Linked DNA regions of Caenorhabditis elegans. The protein of the gene in region 1 purifies or fractionates together with the protein of each later gene. This does not show direct contact. Each region holds a gene or a part of one and is shown in the gene's direction. Other genes may lie near its edges. The genes, in order: anmt-1, ani-1 and tmem-131.

Region 1 (5,388 bases):
CGGAAGAATTTTGTTCGGCAACGCTTTTCTAGTTATCAATTTGCTTAAAACATTGTTTTATTCATTTTTCTGTGCTTATTCAATTTTTCAACAAAAAAAATACTCAAAATAGCTGAATTCTTTTTGAATTTTCGTGGAAATTATAGGCCTAGTTTCGTAATTTTCGCTTTTTGAGCTAAATTTTTTGATTTTTGTCATAACGAAGCTAGGCCAATAATTTCCGCAACAAAATTTTTTTAAAAATTTAAAAACTTTTTTTTCAATATCTTAATACTTTTAAATTTCAAACTTACTCATGTAAATCCAAAACTTTCAAATCAGGCAACAAATGTATTCCCTCTGGCAGTGTAATCAATCGATTATGATCTAATTTCAATTTCTGAAGCTTAACACATCGCGAGATTCCTTCTGGAACTAATTCCAGCTTGTTATATGACAAATGAAGTACGGTAAGTTGAATGAGTTTTCCTATTCCAGATGGTATTCCTTCGAATGTCAATTGGTTATTTGCTGCGTATAATTTGGTGAGTCTTGTCAATTTGACAACACAATCCGGAAGAACTGTCAATTGATTATGGCTCATGTTTAATGTTTCCAAATTCTCCCATTCTCCTTCAGTCATATTCAATTTTTCGATTTTATTTCCACTTAGATTCAATTTTCGAAGATTTCGCAGTTTGAAGAGAGCTTCCGGGACAATGGGAAGATTGTTTTCAGAAAAATCAACATCCTGGAAACGTAAAACTTTAAATTGTAAGCTGAAAACTCTGAAACTCACTCTTAAATTATGCATATCATCCAGAGTTGGAGGAATATTATCCAGCGTTCGATTGGTATTACTCATGTGAAGAACGCTTAGGGATGTCATGCTGAAAGACTCTTTGTTTTGAATTTCTGTTTTTTTTCAGTAACCTTGGTAATTGTTTCAATTGGAAATGATTAAGTGGATTATTTGAAAGTTTCAAACTTTGAAGCATGCTTAATCGACGAATCTGTGGTGGAAGCATGTCCAATTTGTTGTTCGAAAGATCCAGGAACAATAAGTCGATAAGATTGGCACAAACGCTGTTCGGAATAGTTTCAATATTATTATAGCTCAAATTCAGAACGATTGATCCTTTTGCATACTCCAAATTTGTTGGAACTTCTCTCAATTGATTTCGCGATAAATCGATAATTGTAAGATCTTTCATGCGGAAAATGTCCGTTGGAATTCCGGCGGTTTTTAGCTGAAAATCTCGTTTTATTTTATTTTAACTAAATTAGAAAACAAAAATTCTTACGTTATTATCCCTGACAATCACTGATCGTAGTCGCGGTAAATCAGAAAGCTCTCCATGTACAGAAATAAGTTGATTGTGAGCCATTTGCAGATGTTCCAGATTCGCACAACGCGACAGCTCATCAGGCACCTGTTCGAGCTTCGAATCGTTCAATTTCAACCATGTCATTTGCGTCATTTGTTCCACATCGTGAGGAAATCGATCTCCCTGAAAAAAAACGTATAAAAATTGTGTCTAAAACTAAGAAAAACTCACCGAAAAGTCATTTCCCGAGAAATCGATTCCTTTGACGAATTGTAACACTCCTGTTGACATATTTGTAGCGATCTATTGCATTTTATTTCACTAAACACTAAAATTAATATATAAATATAGATTTAAAGCAATTAAATGAATAAATTTCAAAGAAAACTGTGGAAATTGTTAAATTTGTAATTGAAAAAACTCAAAATGGCGGTGGTGGCCTAGAAACCGGAAGGCCGTGGCCTAGGATTTGCGCGTGGCAAAAATAACCGTTCGAAAAGAGAAGTGAAAATTTCAAGTCTAGAATGCAAGATTTATGAGATTTTACCACATTTTTTCTTCATTAAAATTGGTTTTGAGCACGAAAAGGAAGTGATATCAGAAGTGTGTCAAATATAAAAAGAATACCTCCTATTTCATAATTATTGGGCATCATTTGTGTTTACAACATTTTGTCACCTGACTTTATTTTGCATTTCCGTGCTGGTTTTCTCATCAAAAATCTTTTTTATAAAAAAATATTTCGAAATAAAAGTAAGTGATAACTGCTGACTTTTGGAAATGAAGTGAAATAGGAAAACATATCAAATTGGTAACAATTTTCGCAATTTTATTACTGTTTAGCTACAGTAGTAGCTACTGTACATTAGGATCAAGAACCAATATATTTTAAGGATTTTTCTAGGAATTGAAGTCGAGATTTTAAAATGGTTATGTGCAACTGTTAAAGTTTAAAAAATTTAAAGGTTGTTCTGTGAAACTTTGAAAATTCGTATAACGAATAAACCCAAAAAGAGCAAGAAGTGGAACTGGGAGACGAACAATTAACAAGGTGATCCGAAACGGAGAAACATAAAGAAACGGGACGAGCACCCCGGCCCGGGAGCCTCACACGAACAGAAAGGAGAAGCTGTAGAGAGAGAGTGATCGGAATAGAGACACAGACAACTCGCCCGATGAGTGTTACACTACAGATCCATGAAAAATAGCACGGGAACCCAGAGAGACGCAGATATTAGAGAGCATTTGACGGGCAAGGTGGACCGGATATATCAGAGGAGGGAAGAAATGCCAGAGAAGTACCAACTGAAGTCGCAACCTTTCGAATCTTTGAATCGCATCTTTGTCCTTCTTTTTCTCTGTTTTATCTCTTGTTATTCATATGGAAATGATGTGTGTGTATTCAGATGACCGGAACAACGGAAAACGATAATACTGGAGAAGATGAAAAGCCAAAGGATGAAGAATGTGCAGCTATTGAGCATAAAGATAAAGTTCGTGTTTATCAGAAAGTTTTGGAACATGTCATAGAAGATAAAAATGACTAGATATCGTAGTAATACTTTTGAAACTATTTTGAAAATTTTAGTTTACAGTCGAAAGTGCCTGTCTAAATGTTTCAAAATTTTGGCAGTTGCCAAAACTATTACTACACCAAAAAAAAAAACAAAAATAAAAAAAGCATGATGTTAATAAATACAAAATTTCAGTTCAACCCAACAGCATATCTCAATAGTTTCTATAAAACAGCATCAGAAGATACAGCAATGCAAATAGTACTCTTCTTTCTACCTGGAATCCTTTATCGTTTACCTCAAAAAGTTCGAAGTGTTCTGGATTTGGGTGCAGGTCCAACTGTATATCTTCCAATTTCTTTGCGGGATCGTGCTGAAAATATTTATACTTCTGACTATGCACCAGCTAATCGAGATACACTTATCAATTGGATTGAGGACAAGTAGGTTAATTTCTGAAATTAATATATTAAGTTCAATTTCAGATCTGACTTTGATTGGGACAATGTGTGTTCATGGATTGCCAATATTGAAGCATCTATGGAAACTGGAAAGCAAATGCAGAATAAGACGAGAAAGTTGATGAGAGCAGTTTTAGATGTAAGTTTTGAAATATCGTTTTATAGATTTTAATATAAAATTAAATTTGTGGGTCTTTATAAAGATGAGGAAGATTACTGTAGATATTTCAGTTGTTTTGTCATTTTTTCGCAACAATCCGGTGAACTCGGTTCCCGGGAATTCCCGGTCTCGAAACAAAAAATGTCCGATAGGTTAGAAACTAGAGTACCTCTTAAAGGCGCACATCCTTTCCCACCTATCGAAAATTTGTCGTGTCGAGACCGGGTAGCTAATTTTATGCCAAAAAGCGCAAATTTTCGCGTCAAAGTTTTGCATGTTATCAAATGTTTAATTTCAGGTGAACGTCCATGAATCTCCGGTTGTTCAATCAATTGTCTGGAAAGAAAATGAGCAAGTTCAAGTTCCAGACAAATTTCAAGTTGTATCAACTGTCTTCTGTCTAGAGTATTCATGTGAAACTCTTGAAGCATATTTCCGGGCGGTACGAAGTGCGTGTTCCCTTATTGATGAAGGTGGTATTCTGATTCAAGGTGGTGTTCTCGATGCAACGACCTACAATTTTGGAGGAAAAACATTTCGATGTCATCGGCTGAAACAAGCACATATAATTGAAAGTCTCAAGGTAAATTGTATTTTTGAAAAAAGTGTTTTAAAATATTATTCTTTGAAAAAAAAGATCCACCAACAAGAGCAAAAAATTTCAAAATGTTCCAAATTATTCTCCCAACCATATGATTTCAGGCAAATGGTATGGCGACAACTGCCGAACAAGGATATAAATTCATTACACATGACGACATTTTCTTACTTGTATCGAAGAAACTTTAGTTAAATATTTTTTAATTTGTTGTGTTTTTTTAAAAATATTTTATAAACTTTTAACTATTCAGTAAAGTTAGTACCACTTCCTTTTTGGTGATGGCAATGATGGTGATATTTGACAGAATATCGAAAAGGAAAAAGAAAGTGTTCAGAAATGACCAGTAGAATTACGAGGAGACGAAAAGGCACGACAACCGCTACAATCTATACACATAAACATTTAAAAAGAGAAATACGGGAAAATGGCAGAAATGGGAAGAATAAATAGTTGGGACAATCACTAATTTATCATACAGAAAAGTGGGTTTAAAGTAACCTCGAGTTTACTTTCCATAAGCCTCAATGAGCATTCCAACTCCGTGACCTCCAGCAGCACAGGCTGCAATTACAGCGTACTGTCCCTTCTCTTCCTTCAGTCTGTGAGCTGAATGAGTTGCAAGTCTCACACCAGTGGCTCCGAATGGATGTCCGATTGACAAAGATCCTCCCCACAGGTTGAGCTTGTCCATTGGAACTCTTCCGAATTTACCAGATCGTTTCATCTGCTCTTTGCAGAAGTAATCACTGTCCATCGCGTTCAAATTGGCAAGGACTTGTCCGGCAAAAGCTTCGTGAATCTCAAATACATCAACATCCTTAAGAGTGAGTCCTGCCTTGTCCAGAAGCTTTGGAATGACGTAGGCTGGAGAGAGCAGGAGCTGATCTTTTGGATCCTGAAATATATTGGAAATTAAAAACGCTCGAAAGCTACTAAAAACAACAAAACTATTATAATCTTACCTGTGCAACATACAAATAGTCTCTCAAGTAGGCTTTTGGCTTGTATCCGTTGGCAAGAGCATACTCCTCAGTCATGATAAGAGCAGCAGAAGCACCATCGGTCAAGTAAGATGCGTTGGCAGCAGTCACAGTTCCGTGTGGCTTCACAAATGCTGGTTTCAGAGATGACAGCTTCTCAAGAGTGGATACACGAATTCCGTTGTCCTCTTTGATTGTCTTTGGCTTTTTTCCGTCTAAGAATACTGGAACAACATCAGTGAATTTTCCATTCTTAGCTGCTTCCGAAGCAAGAGTGTGGGAGCGGATTGCGAATTCGTCTTGTTCTCTGAAAATAGAAATAAGTAGACATTAATTAATTTCCCAGAAATTTAAGGAAAATTACC
Region 2 (9,321 bases), 3.8 Mb from region 1:
ATTTGCTATTGAGTCAGTGCTAAAAATGGTCTCCGAGGCTCCGTATATTACGGTATAGTTTTTTCTAAGAATGCGTATTGGACAGCATATTTGACGCGCAAAATATGAAATATCTCGCAGCGAAAACTACAGTAATTCGTTGAATGGCTACTGTAGCGCTTGTGTCGATTTACGGGCTCGAATTTTTTTCAATTCGAGCCCGTAAATCGACAACTCTCCAGCAGTCTCATTTAAAGAATTACTGTAGTTTTCGCTACGAGATATTTCACATTTTGCGCGTCAAATATGTTGTGCAATACGCAATTCTCGGAATTTTGTGCTCTCCGTAATATAATAGTGAAATTTTAGGTAAAAGTAAGCGATGCTCTATTCGACGGATACGAAGACCCGATAATCGATATCGTTTGTAAAAATAAAATTCTTCAATTCCTCTGCGAAACGAATTCTCTTCAGCGGAGAGTTGGATTCTTTTATGGGGTAAGATATGAGTTTGCAAGGTGCCGCACAGAAAAATAGGCGGAGCCAAATTTTGCGCAACCATGCCGCACGGTTTTCCTTCCAAAATATTGATTTTTCTTCAGCAAAATGGAACAACAGACGGAATATACGAAGTGGATGCTGGCGTGCCATCTCCATCGAAAATCGGTCATTTATACACGTGGAATAATATGACAGAAATGCCCGAAGGAACATGGGATACTAAATACGCACGAATGATTAACGGAACCGATGGACAATTGTTCAGTCCGATGCTGAAACGAGAAGACAGATTGACGATATTTGTGCCGCAAATATGTAGATCAATTCAAATGGAATACACAAAAGATGTCGCTGTGAATGGGGTTCCTTCGTGGAGATATGCACCACCTTTGGATCTTTACGATCCTGCTCTTCCGCAGAATCGAGCATTTTGTAATAAGAATGGAATGCCGCGATATTTTGATAATACTACTGTGCAAATTGGTGAGAGAGAGAGAGAGAGTTTTATTTTAAAAAATTCGATTGTAAATTTAAATTTAAATTTTAATATTAATTTTTCCAGAAAACTGCCTCCCTGCCGGTCTTATCGACTTGTCACGATGCCAAGCCGGCAATCCACGTGTCTATCTATCCAATCCACACTTCTACAACTCACCAATGGAGCTGTGGCATTCCGTCACTGGGCTCTCGGTGCCAACTGCTTCAAATGACCTGACTGTTGTAGATATTGAGCCAACTGCCGGCGTTCCAACTCAAGCGAAAAGAATTATGCAGATTAATGTGGGAATGGTCAAGGGATCCTTGAGGTTTACCTATTACGAAATTGAAATCTCTAATAATTATCGATTTTTCAGTGTCACCGAAAACACGACAAACGTCGTTGTTCCAGTCCTTTGGATGAACGAAACTGCGTATTTCGATCAAGGAACTCGTGATCAGCTGATTAATATTTTCAACGCAAAACATTATTCATTTATTGGAGGTGTTATCAGCTTGTCACTTGGTCTTATCGCCTGGCTTGCCGTTTTTGTTGTAATCATTGTTTATTCGGTAATTATATTATTGTTGGTTTTCTGCAAAATTCAATTTCCTCTAATTTACAGCGACAATCCGACGAAGAAGAGTACGGACGTCTTGTGCTGGAGGATGAGGACGAAGAGCCTGCGCAAGACGAGAACGCAGTTTTGGCATAAATTTAAAAATTTAAATCATTTTTAATCATATTGTGATAATTTCGAATTTTTGATGCAGGTTGCAATAATTCTGGTGCTCACACGACTTAATATGGCACTTTTTCTTGTAAATATTAATTGAATAAATGATTTTTTTCGAAATTTTTTTTTATTTTGACGAAATCCCGCGAGAGGGAGAGAGAGAGAGAGCACGCGAAAAGAAGAGACGCAGATGCGCGGGATTAAAGGCGCGTTTTTTTTCACGCGTGGGTCCCACCACGCGTCGAGACCTGGTTGCCGCCAAAACAATGTATTCAAATTTTGCAACTCGATTTTAAACGTTTTTCGATTTTTTGACGTGAATTTTCACATTTTTCCTGTTTTTTGACACGTTTTCCACGAATTTTGCCCGATATAAACGCGTATTAGTCAATTTTAATTATTTTCTACAAGAAAAGCTGCGAAAAGTGCGTCGTTTTACGAATTCGTTGAAACTGTTCGCAAGTTTTGATGAGATTTTCTTGGAAACATTGTTTTCTTGCAGAACTACACTGTAAATACAATGGGGGATCAATTCGATTCTCTAATGGAACGCATACGAGTTCGGCAAGCCGAAATGTCAGGCGAAGGAGAGGTGGCAAAGGAGAATGGGCCAGTGACCTCAAAAATTACATCTGTGAAGCAAGAAGGTATATTTTGGGGTTTTTAAGAATACAGAAATATAAATATATTAATTAATATGTTTGATTTTCAGTTGCATCTCCAACAAAAGTCTTCGGAAGCTCCTCAAAATGCAACGACGGCCCGTCAACTCCAGTGCATTTTCACCCTCAAGAGCCAAAGGAGACAACTCCAAATATGAAGGAAAACGCTGAAAATTCATTAAATTCGTTCAAAGATGCCACAGTCAACGAGTCAAGCTCCAAAAAGACGTCGAGATTCTCAATGTTGGCTCAAGAAATCGATGAATACGAATATGACTACCAATCACAGTACAATAAGCCGAAAGAAGCATATATGAAGGGAAGATCTCCACGAATGTCGATCGGAGAGACACGTCCAGCAGTCCTGTGTACTCCGGCTGGAGCACAAGCCATGAAAAGCCCAAATGTAGCGGTATCGTCGAAAAGTGCTCCCGAAATCGCTCTCGGAATGTCGGATTTCGAAGCTCGCCGCATCAAATTCGCCCAGCCAATTGTGAATGTGAACTATCTGCCCAACGAATCGTCGATTTTCTCCGGAGGATCCGGATCATCTGTAAACGATCAGAGCACTGTGCTCGGAGGCTCTGCCGAAATGATGAACGTCACCACGTCGTCGCTGAGCTGTGGAGAGCTGTCGATGAATCAGCATATAACACACGAAAATACGATTATCAACGCACAATCGTGTGATAATCGAGAGGCGATTTTGAGAGAAAGACAGCAAGTTTCAAACGAAGAATATGGACCGCACACATTTATGAGAAAGGTAGAATGTTGGGAAAAGTCAATGTCCCTTTAACGAGCTCGTGTACTGTGCGTGGACAATCGCGAATTTATTTTCGTGCAGGATTTCACGGTTTTTCGTTAATTTTTCTCATTCAAAATTGCCAATCTACCTAATATTGTCGTATTTTCTCAAGATTTTGACTTGCCTTCTTAAAGGTGGATTACGCTCATTGGGGAAATTGCTTTAAACCCGCCTATGGGGTCACAATGACCGAATATCATAATAAAAAAATTTTCTAGGTTTTATATGATTTTTTGAAAATTGAAAAAATCTCAGTTTTTGCCTAATTCCTATTTGAATTACCGCCAATTGGATTTGTTCGATGGAGCGCGCTTGCGCGTTTTTAAATTTATTTATTTTATTTTTTTTTGTTATTTTCCACCGATTTTTCATGTTTTCTGTGTATTTTTACAGAAAATTTGAAGGAAAAGTCAAGACAAATGCAAATTTTCGATTAAAAAGCACGCTTACGAGCGTAAAAATGGAAAAGTAACGCTTTTAAACGATTTCGAACCTGAATTAATTAATTTCACTGATTTACGCCTGTACGTTTGCTTTTTAATCGAAAATTTGCATTTATCTTGACTTTTTCTCTAAAATTCGAGCAAAAATACACCGAAAACATTAAAAAATTGGTGGAAAATAACAAAAAATAAAATAAATGAATTTAAAAACGTGCAAGCGCGCTCCATCGAACAAATCCAATTGGCGGTAATTCAAACAGGAATTAGGCAAAAACTGAGATTTTTTCAATTTTCAAAAAATCATATAAAATTTAGAAAATTTTTTTGAATTTTTTTAATCATGATATTCGGTCATTGTGGTACCATAGGCGTGTTTTAAAGCAATTTCCCCACTGAGCGTAGTCCACCTTTAAAGGCGCATGGATGTATTCAGATGGGTCTCAGCGCGCCAAAAGTTTATTGCTTCGTATAGCGAATTTTGTCGATAAAAATCGCTTAAAACAACGTAATTTCAATGAAAAATAAAAAACAATTTAATCATAAACTTTTTAGCGCGACGAGACCCATCGGAATAAATCCTTGCGTTTTTAGGAAGACATGTCTTGTAAAATTACAATATATAATAGGTAGACTGGCAGTTTTAAATGCAGAAAAATGGACGAAAAGTGAAAAATCACCCTTTTTAGCGAAAAATTGTGAAATCCTGCAAGAACATAAATTCACGTTTGTCCACGCATAGTACACGAGCTCGTAAATCTACACAAATCTTAAAGGGACATAGCCTTAAAAATGAGATTTTGAGAAACATTTTTCGATAATAACTCCAAAATACATAGTCCGCACGCCTTTTTTAGTGATAATTTCGCACGCTTTCGAGAAAATCCTTTGTTGCCTAATCCTTTTGTTTTTTTTTTGTCGTGTAGAAGGTGCCAAAAGAAGCTTCATCTGCGACATCATCATCATCGTCAACGACAACTTTAACTACGATCTCCGGTGCATCAGGCTCTACAACGTCTGGAATATCGAATGCTCCACAGGACTCGGCTTCAACAAAAACCACGACTAATACATTTACTTCTTCGTATTTGCTCACTAAAACCTCGAACAACAACATCAATGCACTTGTCTCGTCGTCGCCAAAACCGTTTTCTAAAGATATCGGAAGATCCATGTTCTCGCCTGTGCATTTTGTATGTTTTTTTGGTTTTTTGCTTCACGCCTCTATCACCTCACCTACTAACTGCTCTCTTTCAGACTCCAAAAAGCACGTCGTCACCGAAAACTCTGTCGGAGAGCATCTTCTCGCCATCGAAATCCGCCGCAGTCGAAGGATCAATTGCGACTACGAGACGGCTTCAGTTTGAGGAGAAATTGAAGAAAAGTAGTAGCGCGAATGTTGTGAGTAGATATGATGTGGAAAATGCTCTTGGCAGCTGATTATTGCGACTGATTGGAAATTAAAAAATATTTAATTAAACTAGAAAAAATCCCCCCTGCAAAACACGATTGTTGCGATTTTGCATCCGTGACATTTTGAATTTCCACTGAAAATAGCAGATTTTTCAGATTCATCAAATTTTTAGCTTTAAAAATTTTATTTTCTGCATTTTCCGAACAAACTTTTTCGTTAAACAGTGAAAATCGAATTTAAAATGACTAAACTGAACATTTTTCGTCCACTGGTTGTGAAATGGATTGAATTTGAAAAAATCAATGGGATTTTTCTTATTTTCTAGATATTTTTCTATTAAAAATGTATTAAAACCGATTTTCAATAGAAAAATTTTTAGAAAATAAGAAAAATCCCGTTGATTTCTTCAAATTCAAAACATTTCACAGCCAGTGGACGAAAAAGGTTCATTTTAGTCATTTTAAATTCGATTTTCACTGTTTAACGAAAAAGTTTGTTCGGAAAATGCAGAAAATAAAATTCTAAAGCTAAAAATTTGATAGTTCTGAAAAATCTGCTATTTTCAGTGGAAATTCAAAATGTTGCGGATGCAAAAAGCCAAACCGGATTTCTCTCCATTTCCAGACAGCGCCTCCTGCACCTACATCAGCACCAGTTCCAACGCCACGCCACGTGGCTCCATTGGCACCTACAGTAGCCCAGCAGAGCCACTTGACTCCAAACCATCGTCATGCTGCTCAACAAAAGAAGCACCTGTTCCCCGTAGTGGGGATCGTCGCGACTGCACCGATTCCAGTTCAAACTCAATGGAGAGGACAATCGAATACTCCAGTTGTGCAGGGAGCTCGTGCCGACGAGAAGACTGCTGGTAATGAGCCACCAGTTGGAGCCGGAGTTGGAAAGCTGAAGAATTTGAAGTCGAGATGGGAGTTTTCGTCGGCAACTGGCACGCCAATACATCCTGATGCTACCGAAGATTCGTTGATTGCTACGGCAATTAAGATGAAGGAGAGTGCGATTCCGAAACAGCTTGGTCACAGATCAGAGCGAAAAGGACCATCCGCCTCGTCGCTCTACTCGCAAGGTGCTCGGAGTAACACGGCTTCTCCTGCATCGAAAAGTACTCGTTATGAGCAAGAAGAAGAAGATGATGTGTTTGAAGCTCCAGAATTTAATGATGGAGGAGACGTGATATCAGAAGATGGAATTCTTCAGGAAGAAGAAGAGGATACTTCTAAATTCATTGATAATGCATTTGGATTTATGGAAGGATCTGGGGCTGGAACGCCGAGCCCATATCGCGAGCCTCCGTTGCAACGTTTGGAAAAGAATAGGCCGCCGGCGGAGGTTATTGAAGAAGAAACTGAAAATGAGGATGAATCTGAACCCTATGAGCCGGAAGAAGAAGAGGATGACGATGCAACAACACAATTTCCTGTACCTGAAAGATCACGAAAATCAAGTTCTCAACTGGCCTACTCTGTTTCGTTTTATCGAAAAATTCAACGAGACAGAAACGAAGAATCGTCGACAGTGCTGGCCGGGCCAGTTATCAGTCAAATCAGTCCATCTGCTCCGCCGATGTCATCATCGCTCACATCACAACAGAAACTTCGACAGCTCACCACCGGGCCTGCGAATGGAGCACGAATTGTCGAGTCGGCTAAGGATGCTCACGATCGTATCAAGCGAGCGATTCAAGTTGAAGAGCAGCTTGTTGCTCAATCCAAGAGAGCAATGATATTGGCCCGGGATAAGCCAAGTTTCCGTGGATCGCGTGAGGAATTTGAAGCACAATGGGCAATGCTTCGTCATGTGGAAAAGCATCGAGCACTTCTCACTGAGTATGATCGATTGAAACGAGATGGACCGAGAATGTTAGTTTTTTTTTTCCGAATTTTTTTTTCACCTAAAAAAATATTCAATTTTTTTCCAGTATCGATGGACCACGTGGAACGATAACAGTATCCCAGTTGTCAGTGAACATGGCTCGTGATTATGTGTCAGCTAATATTGCGTCAAGCAAGAAATCCGATGAAGTCTTCTATTTCGCGGCGATTCTCCGCTACGGCGAGCAAGTCGACGTGTCGAAAATGGTGACAAGCGACGGTGGTCTGAATCGTCGTGGTGTTCTCGAGTTTCCCGTACCACTGATGTTGACCGGGATTCCACCGGATTTCCGAGCAACTGTCGAGATTTATGGACAACGATCGATGCGAGAATCGACGTCGCACGAGGATAAGTACAAGTTGAAGAATTCGACGTTTAAGGCGAAGGTTTGTTTGTTTTTTTCCGAAATATTTGTCATATTTTACATACTCGTCCGTTGAAAATTCGAAATGTCTGCTGCTATAGAATATCGACAAATGGTGTTGTTATGATGTTGTTGATGAGTGTGAGCATGAATCGAGAATGACAGCTGCTGAAAACTTAGCAAGTGAGGAGAAGAAGAGAGTGCCCCTACCCTGTAGATTGTGGAGAAGATTGCATGATGTATGTCTGTTTGTTTGTTTGTTTGTTATTGTCAAATGTCTTGTTCTTCTGTTTTCTGTTAATAATGTATCATAACTTCATCTTCTTCACGTTCCGGCAAGTGGTACATCCATGCAAATGCGCTCTACTGATAATTTGAGTGTAGACCAGGTTTGGGCGCGTGATAACGAAAAAAGCTTTGGTCCAAAAAATGTAGAATTTAATATCGGGCATTTTTTATATGCATCACAAAAAAACTGGACAACTGTTTTTGAGATACACGCGCCCAAACGTCCAGGTATACGGTAGACAAATTGCGTACAGGTACCACTTCTCGGGCCGTGTTCTTAAAGCCGCACAGATTTATTCATATGGGTCTCGGCGCGCCGTTGTTTTAAGCGAATTTTTCGCTACATACTCGCAAGCAATTTGATTGCAAAATGGAAAATAAATGAGGTTATCATGCGCTCCGAGACCCTTCTGAATAAACCCGTGCGCCTTTAATTAGACGTGTATATCAATAGAACCTGGAAATAAGTAATATTTCTAGACTCGTAACACATTCCTGGGCGGCGGATCAACTTCATCAGCAAACCAGAGCCTATTCGTCGATCCAGCAGCATCGTCATCATCAACTTCGTCGACCACATCCAACTTCAATTTGCTCGGAACATTCTCGTTCGACATCAATTGCCCTGGAAAACATTTGTACAACATGTCACATACTGTATATCCGCTCGAAGGTATTACACAGATGAAAGTACGCAAACAGGCGATCGATGGAGCTGATATCACTTATCACGGATTCTTGTCAATGTATCAGAGAACTGGCGAGGGGCTCGGATCGTGGACGAGATACTGGTGTGCTCTTGAGAATGGAGAGATGAAGTTTTGGAAGCAGCCAGAAGATGAGGGAACTAAGGTTTTTAAATTTTTATTTTTTTTGTCTAAAATTAAACTTTTTTTATTGTAGGGTTACACTGCACTAATGGATCTTTCAACGTGTTGCCGTTCCGAAGGTGCATCGGTAGTTGAAGACATTTGCCCATTCCCGAATAGCTTCCACATTGATGTTTGGGCTCCAAAAATGGATACATCGGATCCACGTGGCATTGAGCGTCTTCGAGTTATGCTGGCGGCCGATACAGCTCAAGATCTTCAAACATGGCTGTCACTGATCAATTCTACGTCGAAGCAGTTGTGCACGTGGAGAAATCCGATTGTTAATCAGTAGTCCCCCCCTTTTTTGCAAGCTTTGTGCCTGTATGTATCCCCCAGTTTTTCCCCTCAGATTTTTTTTGACAAATAATCAAATGTTTTATTATTATTCTCGTTACTTCTCTCTCTCTCTCCATGTTTAGCTTCCTTCTTTTCTAGAATTTACTCCCTTCTTTTTTAATCAATACATCACTGTCCCATTATCATTATTCCACTCTTTTTGGGCCTTTTTCGATTTATTCGAAAATTTTAGTTTCACAGTGCCCCTCACCATCGTACACTCTTACAATTAATTTTCGGTTTTTTTTTTGTTAAAATAAACATTTGGTGAAAGTGTGAGAAAACAGTGGTTCCGAATAGAATGAAGAAGACGGAAAGAAAAGGAAATATTCAAGTTAAAAATAACTTTAAATCGAACTAGATATGCCATGTAATTACAGATAAAAAGTTCAACTTTTTTTGCGAAAAATGTTAAACTGTGCTCAATTTTTTGCTCCTTTCAACTGATAAGCTTTCACATGTGCGCCGCCCAGCGGAATTTATATAAAATTCGGGTTTCTTATCAGTTTTCCTATTTCTTTAGGAATCGATGCATTTTCTAGTCTATTTTTCG
Region 3 (9,466 bases), 3.7 Mb from region 1:
TGATTATTTACCTATTTGGATCCTTTTCGATTTTGATATTTTCTTCTACATTCCGAGCACTTTCTCTTGGAACAACTCTGCTCAATTTCCCGAGCATATCTTCTACAGTACTCTTTCTCTGTTCTGCTCCACAAACTACCAAATCTTCTCCACAAAGCAATGGAAATATGACATCTCCCAGGTGTCCAGTTACTTCTTTTAGAGTTTCTTCTCCGTTTTTATCATTATCAGATTTTCCTGAATCAGTGTTCCAAGGCAAAGTTGTAGTGGCGGCTGGTGATGTAGTTGCGATGGGACGGTGTCCACAGAAAAGAGCTCCATGAGTAGAATTTCTATTAGGGCTTCCTGATGAACATAGTTCGGAGCATAGTTGGCGTAGTTTTGGAATTATGGATGAATACGCCTGTATAATTTAATTTTTATAGGCAACAAAGGTTTTAAAATCTTACACATGGAGTGAGAGTTTCCACAGGACTCAATGGAATTGATGGAACTCGGAATGAGCAAATAATATCTTCAGCTTCGTTCATGTTTTCTGCATTGTGACCACAGCAAATGTCATCTGAAATATAATTCTAAATCAAAGTCTCAACGTTTTGTTCACCATCAAAAGCCATTTCTTGAAATCTTTTCGTCAAAAATTTGCTTTTTAGAAGCCTGGTTTGCTCGAAAACTACATTGAATCTGCTTCCGTCTGACAACTTTTGTGAATCTCCATTCAGTGTATAGTACTGTTTCAGGGTGGTTTCATCTGAAAATGGTAACAATTTGTTTAAAAAATCGAAGAAAAAAAACTTACCAACACTGTCCGAAAACTTGACAATATCAGTGACATGGCGAATAAACAGACGTCGATTGCAAATCAAAACTGGTGAAACTAATTTTTTCATAGCTGATGAGAATAGGTTCAAAGTTTCTTTTGTTGGCTTCTCCGAACATAAATAGGCGATGCATAAATTTCTTTGAAAAGCTCTTGCTCTCATGTCGTACAAATTAAAATAATATGCGGCCGCATATACACCCGTTTGATTGTTTTCCAACACAATCATTGTACCCGGAACAGTATCAGACGACATCAACCAGATTGCCATATCGTTTATGTCAACTCCGCGGACTGAAAATTAGCATTTATTCGAGAAAATTGTGTATAAATATTTACTTTTATCATCTGGCCGCTGAGAAACTACCGCTAGTGGTTTTGGTCCGATAACTTGGCAAAATTCGACAAGAGTCAGAAATGGATCAATTTTTGCGACGAATCTGTTGAATGGATCGACGACTTTGGATGGTCGGAGGAGAAAATCCTCGAATGAAATCATTTCTGAAATTAATACAATTTTAATTTCATAATAAAAAGACGAATTCAGCAGAAAACGGCTTAAAAAACAAAAGTGAAAATGTTTGCAAATTATGGAAGAGTTTCCTTCATTAAAACTTTTCAAGCATGCGCCTTTAAAGCTACAGTAACCAAAACCCTCTATAAAACTACTCATTAATCAATTTAAAAGTCAATTTACGTTCAAGTTAAATTAAATCAATATTTTCCAAGCGAAATTGTTTGCAAAAGAACAATGAAGTAACTTCCAGCAGTGTAAACATCGGAAAACCAGTCACTGCAGTCAGGAGATATTGTTCTGGTGGCCGTGGCCGAGGATTCTCCACACGGCTGAAATAACTGTAATTTGTTTCTGTAGTTTTTCTGGTTTTTAATCGTCAGTTTTGAACGTTTTCGCGCAGAAATTTGCATATTCGGAATTATTTAAGACATATTTTTGATATTTATAGTATACTCTGTCAAATATTCTATTTTTCGCGTGTTTGTTAACAACAATAGCCGAAGAAAATCATTTTCTGATTACAAAAAAAATGTGTCCATAATTTCCACAATTGTTCTGCTAAATAAAGACTGTTTTCTGATTTTCTAAATTCTATGTAAATCCAAGCGCTCAATATTTTAATGCTTCATTAATATTCATACCCGAGGTAATAAAACTAGCCTGCGGTTGACAGCTATAGACTTTTTTCCTGACTGCCTTGACCTAGATGACAGATGGTTATCACTTTGTCTTTGTTTTATTCACTTGATTCCACTCATTTTTCACCGAAAAAAGCCCTTTTTCTTTTTTCTCTCTTCACTTTTCCAAACCAGATTTCTTCGTTCTTCTTTCTCTTATAATGGTGTGATGACGTGTTCAACATCTCTATTTTCCCTCAAAAATCGATCGATCCTATTTGTTCTGCGTCTCACGACGACTGTATCTTCTTCTTCCCAAGATGCCGAATACTGGGTCTCTCCAAATCAAACACTATCTCTTCTCCCAGTTATCCTTCCCAATTGAAGTCGACGTCGCCTTTGCCGTTGTCTCTCACTTTTTTATTTCCCTGGAGAAATCTCTTAGTGCCGTTCAATTCCACGTATCATCCATGTTGCATAAGCAAATAAGCAAAAAATAAGCAATAAAAACTGATTTCCGTTTTATTGTGCTTTTTAATTATCTTACTCAGAAAACCTATAGAAAAAAATTTATTCGTTTTTTCAGAGAAACTCTCAATTTACCAAATGCTCAAATGGTTCCATCAATACACAAAACTTCAAACAGATATCGGACGATATATTTCTTCCTAATTTCTCTTTTAATCACTTCAACTTTTGCAGATCAGCAGGTATGGTTTAGCCTCAGAAATTCACATTAAAAAATCAATTTCAGGCATGGCCTCTTCCAGAAGAAGTGTCCGCATCCCAGCTTCACGAGATTCCAGTTCTTCATACCGCATTTGTTCAAATCGGTGAAGAGCTTCACTATCTCAATCATCCTATTCGACCCGAAAATGTGCATCAATTGCCAGTTTATGATTCAATTAAAGGAGTTTGTGAAGGAAATTGTCCGAAAGAAGCCAACAAGAACCATGCGACGAAAACATTCAACGTGTTGAAATTGTCTGGAAAAGGGAAACTTCCAATGGAGATGGATCCACCAATGATGGATTTTGGGCAAAAGTGAATAATTTTTAATTATACTCAAAAGATCGAACTTCATAACGAGACTTTGAAAAAATGCAATTTTTGGAATGTCTCGTTATGAAATTCGACATTTTGGGGCCATTTTAAGTATGATAACAAAAATTTTGATTAATTTAAAAAACCTTCCAAGTATGCATTTTTTTTCAGTTCTGTCGGTACCGCGCAGAAACGCAAAATCTACATTCGAAATATGAGAAATGAACAGATATTCCTCGATGCAGTTGTTGTCAACTCTATTGAATTTCAAGCTTCATATTTTGAGCAATATGTGAGTTTTCTCTACTCAAAAATCAATTATTTCTTGATAATTTCAGAAGCTTGAGCCACATGGTGTTACATCATTGGAAGTGGTCTTCCTACCACGAGAAATTGGAAAACGATCGACAATTGTTCATTTTTACACTTCTGTTGGAGTATTCACATACAAAATGCAGGGAAATTGTGATTCAAATCCATATCGTATATCACCATTTACTGGTTATCGTCTTCCGATGAATTCATCTATTTCAAAGCCAATTGTTATTTTCAATCCGTACGCGTATACAATGAGAATTACCGAGGTTTGTTTTTTAAATGAAAAATTTCACGGAGATGATAAAAATACATTCAAAGGACGTTGTTTAAATAAATATAAAAAAAAAATTTTGTATTTAAAATAGTTTTGAATCGAAAAAATACTAGTTTTTGTGAGAAAAATAGATACATTTTCATTTTTGTAACATTTCAAAACTTTCAAATGACCAATTTTCGAAAATCTTCAATTATTTCGCCTATATAATTGAATTTAATAATTATTTACTTCTAAATTAGTTTAATTTAACAAAATTTATAGATCGGAACATCTGGAGGAAATGCTCACATAGAACTTCCTCATGAAGTTGACAGTAAATTGGCTGAAGAACCACTACAATATTGGGATATTCGTCCATATCAATCCAAACAAATCGCTACGCTGGTCCTAGTTGGAGCAACTTCTGAAAATTCGACAGTATTTGTTCGAATTGGATCTGAAATTTATTTGAGCTCTGAGCATCGCAAACCGAATACGGATATCTATTTAACCGTACCAATTGAAGTTCTGAAACGTCGCGGAGTGTATGCAACAGATGAAATTTTGGATTTTGGACTTATTCGACAAGGGATGAAATCAGAGGCCAAAGTATTTTCTGTGGTTCAATATCAAATTGGAGGAAGGTTGGAATTCGAGACTCTATACGTAGAGAAAGGAGATCATACAGCAATTTATATGGAATTTGCTTCACATCCACCAATTATAGTATATCCACCAACAAAGGGAAGCGTCACATTGGGACCAAAAGCAGATCTTGTAAAAGTATATCTAGAAGGAAATCGAGTACAAATGTCACCTCAACAACAGATGAAACATATTAGTGGGCACATTATTGCAGTTTCTAGAGGTGGAAACTATAATGTTAGCATTCCGTATCGAGCCGATGTATTTCGTGGAGACCTTCTCCCGATTGGAAATGATTTATCGATTCAAGAAGATTTGAGACCACCTCATCAAAGAATTATTCGAATTGAAAATCAGTTGCCATTCGATGTGGCTATTTTCAATATTACATTGGCTCCAGAATTGGTCTCCCACTTTTCTGTAAGTTCTCATAATTTTTTTTTGGGAAATTTTTAAAGTTCAAATTCTCAAAACTGAATTATCCTAGTTATTATTTTCTCTTCTTTCAGGTTCGACTCATTGATCGCACTGCCCTCATCCGTTCCGGCCACATTTCACCAGTCTTTGTTCTGAAATACAATAAGAAACTACCACCAACATTCGATAACTCTACAATTTATCTACACACAAATGTTTCCACTTTTAATTTAAGCCTATCAACCTATACAGGAAGAATGAACGTTGAGTTGATATCTGTGGATAAAAATTCATTTGATTTCGGTTTTGTTGAAAGGAATGACACAAGGACAATTCGAGTAAGAAAAAATTAAAATAAAGTTATAACATTTCAATTTATAATTTCAGTTCGTGGTTTGGAATCACAATCGAGCTGAGATGCGTCTCAAAAATCTTGCTGTACCACATCGTTCGGCTTACCGACTCTACGAAGTTGGTGTCAAGTCGATCGGAAACTTTTCTGATGTTCGAAATGATGAACGTCTTGAATACGTTGAAGCCACCGATGTTGATATTCCACCAATGAAAGGAAAAATCTTTGATTTGGAGCTGAAAGTTCCATCGGATGGAGTTGTTCGAAACGGAAATATCATTTTCGAAACTGATTTAGAGAGTAAAATATTTGGAGTTACTTATCAAGTATCAACTGGATCACTACAGTCGATACCGGAAGAAATATGCTTCGGACAGACGTTCCCGTCGAAATTGGTTTATCGAACACTACAGGTAGGAAGATCCTAATAGTTGCTTCAATTTCTGAAATTGTTTAGGTATTCAACTCATTCGACGAAGATATGACCGTAACCCGTCTGACAACTCTCAATGAAGATCCACGATTCTTTTTCGAAGGATTCGATCCCAAGAATCCACCTGTGCTTCGTTCAGGACGACTCACTAATCTTGGACGTGTCATGTTCTCTCCATCAGCTCCATGTGAACATGATTACTGTTATCTGGGTCTCCCATTAGGAAGTTCCGATGGAGCGTGGTTTACGCATGGTCTCACACTACCATCTAATTTGCCAGAAATTGATTCTTATCTGTACAAACAGTTGAGAAAGAAATATGATGCATTGGTGAATAGTGGAAAACATCATATCAACACTACAATAATTTTGGATACTGATAAAGCAAAGAATATCAAGATCAAAACATCTGCTGAATTGGTGTGGCCACGACTTCTCACAAGAAATTCCATTCATTTCCCTCTAACAGCTCTTGGAAACTTCACCATCGTGAATCTAACACTAGCCAATCCAACAAATGTGCCAGTTGCAATTCAAGTAATTCCATTGGTTATCTACCCGGATGCAGAGTCTCTCGTCGAACTGATGCGTCCAAATTTGGTATCCGAACTGACAGATCATGTTGAAATGAACGAAACATTGATGTTTTCGTTGCGAGACACTGAATTGTTCACTTTGAAGTCAGATTCACCTGTTCCGAAGCTCAGAGAAGCATTTGAATATCATTTAAATCATGAGATGCCAAGATATAATAATGAAATTAATATTCCTAGGTTAGTTGTTTTAAAATTAATTCAATTTATCAATTAATTTCAGGTTCACGTTATCAATGATCCTAAAACCACATATGAAAATTCGACTTCGCCTTGGTTTCCTGCCATCAGACTACACACTCCGATCATCTCTTCTCTTGATTCGTAACAATTTGACAGCGATTGAGCCAGTTGTAATGTATGGAAAAGGTGCTCGAATTGGAGTTAAAGTTGAAGGAGCCGAAGCTCGATCCAAAAAGCCGTTATTATTCGAAATTCGGCACGATCATTTGACAGATTGCAATAACCCTAAAAGTATGTGATTCGAAATTTCATTGAAAAATATAAATGCAAAATTTTACAGGATTAATGCACAAATTGCACTCAACTCTGACTGTTCGCCGCCCGTTCCAAGTGATGAATAGTGGAGAAGTTCAATTTACCGTAACCAATATGAGTATTAACGGTGTTCCTTGCGAGAATCGAGGTTTTCGAATTCTCAATTGTTACCCGTTCCGTCTACAACCAAATGAGACATATGCTTTAGATATTGCGTGAGTTAGAAAAATATAATTACAAAATAAACATAAATTGTATTTTTTTTAAATTTCAGTTACACACCAGACTTCCTTACAACAACCAATGAAGCAGATTTACAACTTTATATGCACATGAACGGTAGTGCTTGGATATTCCCATTGGCATCTACAGTACCCGGTGATATGCTTGCCAAATGTCATCAGGCACTCCCTCGACCACCTTTTGAGAATATCATGTATTATAGCTGTGTAACAGCACTGATGTAAGTTTAAACAAAACTTTATGAAAACTAAAATAATTATTTTCAGATTCTGTCTTGTTTGTGTTCTTGCATGCGCCTATCTGGAAGGTGATCGTGCTATTGCCGTTGCCATCAGACAACAATTTGCCATTCCTCGCCACGTATTTGATCTCAACAATTTGAATAAGAACAATTCTACAACTACACCTGTTCCTACAGTACCTTCTACAGCTAAGCCCGAAAGTTCTATAAAGAAGCCAACCCCGGCGACTAGACCTTCAACGCTTCGAGCTTCATCCGATGCTTGGCTCATTTCTCGATTACTTATCGGTTTGGCCAACTTCATTGTGAAATGCGTTCATTTATTCTGGAAATGGTCTTTGTTCTGGAGGAGAGAAAAAGCGGATGATAAACAATCAAAATCGGCAAAAGTAACGAAAAAGAAGAATCCAGTGACAATGCAGAAGGTTGAAGAGTTCCGTCAAATGCTTGAATATGTTGGGCAGCAGAAGCGACAACAAAACTCTGGAGAACTTGCTCCAGAATTTGATGAAGTTGAAGAAGAAGAGCTTGCAGAGATGTGGGCACAGAGAAAGGATTCTGGGGCTCAATCTTCGGTTGTGACAGACCCTGAGCCACCAATGTCGAAAAGTCAAAGAAAGAAGAAACGAGCTGCGCAACAGAAAGAAAATAATAATTTGGAAGCACCTATTATTGTACAACCAGTTGTTCAAAGCCCGCCGGTTCAAAATAAAATGGAACCAGCGAAGAAAACCACTCCGGGACCATCACCAAAACCAAAAGGAAACAATCAGCGAAAGAAACATGTGCAGGTACCACCAGTCACAAAGACTCCCGTTACTCCGAAAACTTCAATTCCTCCGCCAACAGAACCAGAGAAACCCATCAAGCCATCTGAACAGAAGAAGCCCAATGCAATACCAGTTGAACGGCCAAAGCAGCCAACTCCTTCGAAAGCAAGAACGCCAAGCAAAACACCATCCCAGTCTAATCGAGCTCAGCATCCCGCTAGCTCTCCAGCTCCAATTGCTCCGACGTCAGCTCCAACAGACGACTTTGTTCACGTCCCACCAACTTCTTTAACTTCACCTGATCTCTTCTATCGTCAATTCTTGTCATCAATGGGCATGCCAATGGACGCAGGAATGTGGGATACACCAGCGGCTCAAGCTGCAATGCCGTTTATGAATCTGTGGAATTATGGAGGGCCGTTGAGTGCGGAACAGATGGAAGATCTTATTCGACAAGCTTCTGGAGTTGCTCCAATAACTAATGATTCGGAAGGAACTACAGTTACAACACCTTCGGATATTGGAATGACCTGGGGAACTAGCGGACATTTAGGAGGAGACGAAGAAAGTATTGGAGGTGAAGCTGCACCAGATTGGATTGATGAGGTAATTAAAATTAGAATTGAATATCTTTACTTATTAAGAAATATTACAGGATGTCAATGTCGATGATGCAGAAATGGATTTCTCATCGATGTCTGCCGCATCTAAGGATATATTCAAAGATGATGATATTGATAATTTCAATCAGCAAATGAAAAGACAGAGAAGTCCAAGTCAAGCTTCATCAACTCTTTCAAGAAAGGCAGGTTCACAAAAGACAAAAACATAAATAATTATTTAATTTTTAGCTTGAAAACTCACCTCAAAAAATGGGAAGTCGTCGACTGACAATAGGAAGTGAAAAGAAAAATAATCAATCATCATCTTCGGCATTAAATCCGAATTACGACTTTACAAGGACACCCGGAAATCCGAATAGAATGCAAATGTCTCAGAACTCAATTCAGCCTGCACCTCCAGCAACATCTATTTGGGGAGACAATTCAAATTCGGATCCATGGGGCACAAATACGGTGTCAAATCCACTTTCTGAACTAGAGGATGATCCATTGTCACTTTCACATTTAGGAATCAATCTGGCTTCAAGTGAGTTTCAGTTTTTCCTCTTAATTTCTATGTTAATTAAACAATTTTAAACACAAAATCATTTTTTAGCCGAATCATCTGCAACAGGCCCAATGTTCACAATGTTCAGTGGTCCAGAATTCAATTTATGGTCGTCAAGTTCACTCTTCCATCCCCCAACACAACAACCATCAACTTCTCAAATGCCACAAGATACGGACAACGAGAATGATGAAAAGAATAACTAATAATCTCATTCTCAAACAGATTTCCCATATTATATCTACTTATCTGCTATCCAAATCTATATGTGTGTGCTGAAAAAGACTGAAGAAAAGAGCACGTCTTCAAATGAAAGTTTTTTGAACAACAATACGGTTTTATTTCAAATTTTCAATATCCAAAAAAGATCATTCACAAATTTTTAATTCTTCTCAAAACCTCCAAAATGGTTTCGTTTTGATTCTTCCGCGCGGGATCTTCTAGAACATGAACCTCGGAATCTCCATTGCTTAATCCAAAAGCCATATAACCAATTTTAGCGTTTTCCGAAAGCCACGTGTCAGATGCAAGT

Evidence for each region.
Region 2: the proteins of anmt-1 (region 1) and ani-1 fractionate together in Caenorhabditis elegans (co-fractionation; one large-scale study listed by BioGRID). This does not show direct contact.
Region 3: the proteins of anmt-1 (region 1) and tmem-131 fractionate together in Caenorhabditis elegans (co-fractionation; one large-scale study listed by BioGRID). This does not show direct contact.

The regions. Positions count from the first base shown.
Region 1 is NC_003281.10:8,682,096-8,687,483, forward strand, and holds anmt-1 (Nicotinamide N-methyltransferase), read left to right. Parts: upstream 1-2,712; 5' UTR 2,713-2,713; coding exon 2,714-2,800; intron 2,801-3,016; coding exon 3,017-3,264; intron 3,265-3,306; coding exon 3,307-3,421; intron 3,422-3,740; coding exon 3,741-4,025; intron 4,026-4,144; coding exon 4,145-4,231; 3' UTR 4,232-4,313; downstream 4,314-5,388. Other genes in the region: fli-1 (Protein flightless-1 homolog), read right to left, coding at 294-730, 779-869, 913-1,229, 1,284-1,490, 1,539-1,598; hadb-1 (putative 3-ketoacyl-CoA thiolase), read right to left, coding at 4,549-4,938, 5,006-5,330, 5,388-5,388. UniProt on the Caenorhabditis elegans protein: Catalyzes the N-methylation of nicotinamide and other pyridines to form pyridinium ions. Involved in regulation of lifespan extension downstream of the sirtuin sir-2.1, probably through its role in nicotinic acid metabolism.
Region 2 is NC_003281.10:12,446,078-12,455,398, reverse strand, and holds ani-1 (Anillin-like protein 1), read left to right. Parts: upstream 1-2,196; 5' UTR 2,197-2,214; coding exon 2,215-2,341; intron 2,342-2,406; coding exon 2,407-3,122; intron 3,123-4,530; coding exon 4,531-4,797; intron 4,798-4,861; coding exon 4,862-5,005; intron 5,006-5,642; coding exon 5,643-6,895; intron 6,896-6,954; coding exon 6,955-7,294; intron 7,295-8,040; coding exon 8,041-8,412; intron 8,413-8,463; coding exon 8,464-8,724; 3' UTR 8,725-9,046; downstream 9,047-9,321. Other genes in the region: scav-3 (Sensory neuron membrane protein 2), read left to right, coding at 1-52, 349-477, 582-963, 1,043-1,286, 1,335-1,530, 1,584-1,673; Y49E10.18 (Fungal lipase-type domain-containing protein), read left to right, coding at 9,298-9,321. UniProt on the Caenorhabditis elegans protein: Required for contractile events in embryos that occur prior to mitosis, such as cortical ruffling and pseudocleavage. Promotes membrane ruffling by organizing cortical patches of septins and myosin II. Not generally required for cytokinesis in mitotic cells.
Region 3 is NC_003281.10:4,991,236-5,000,701, reverse strand, and holds tmem-131 (Transmembrane protein 131 homolog), read left to right. Parts: upstream 1-2,540; 5' UTR 2,541-2,568; coding exon 2,569-2,664; intron 2,665-2,708; coding exon 2,709-2,998; intron 2,999-3,169; coding exon 3,170-3,290; intron 3,291-3,336; coding exon 3,337-3,582; intron 3,583-3,854; coding exon 3,855-4,637; intron 4,638-4,726; coding exon 4,727-4,972; intron 4,973-5,021; coding exon 5,022-5,399; intron 5,400-5,443; coding exon 5,444-6,192; intron 6,193-6,235; coding exon 6,236-6,486; intron 6,487-6,535; coding exon 6,536-6,725; intron 6,726-6,784; coding exon 6,785-6,973; intron 6,974-7,019; coding exon 7,020-8,370; intron 8,371-8,419; coding exon 8,420-8,569; intron 8,570-8,615; coding exon 8,616-8,913; intron 8,914-8,982; coding exon 8,983-9,140; 3' UTR 9,141-9,263; downstream 9,264-9,466. Other genes in the region: Guanine nucleotide exchange protein smcr-8, read right to left, coding at 12-403, 450-562, 605-751, 800-1,114, 1,160-1,319; wdr-60 (WD Repeat protein), read right to left, coding at 9,307-9,466. UniProt on the Caenorhabditis elegans protein: Collagen binding transmembrane protein involved in collagen secretion, probably by recruiting the ER-to-Golgi transport complex TRAPPIII. Required for normal development.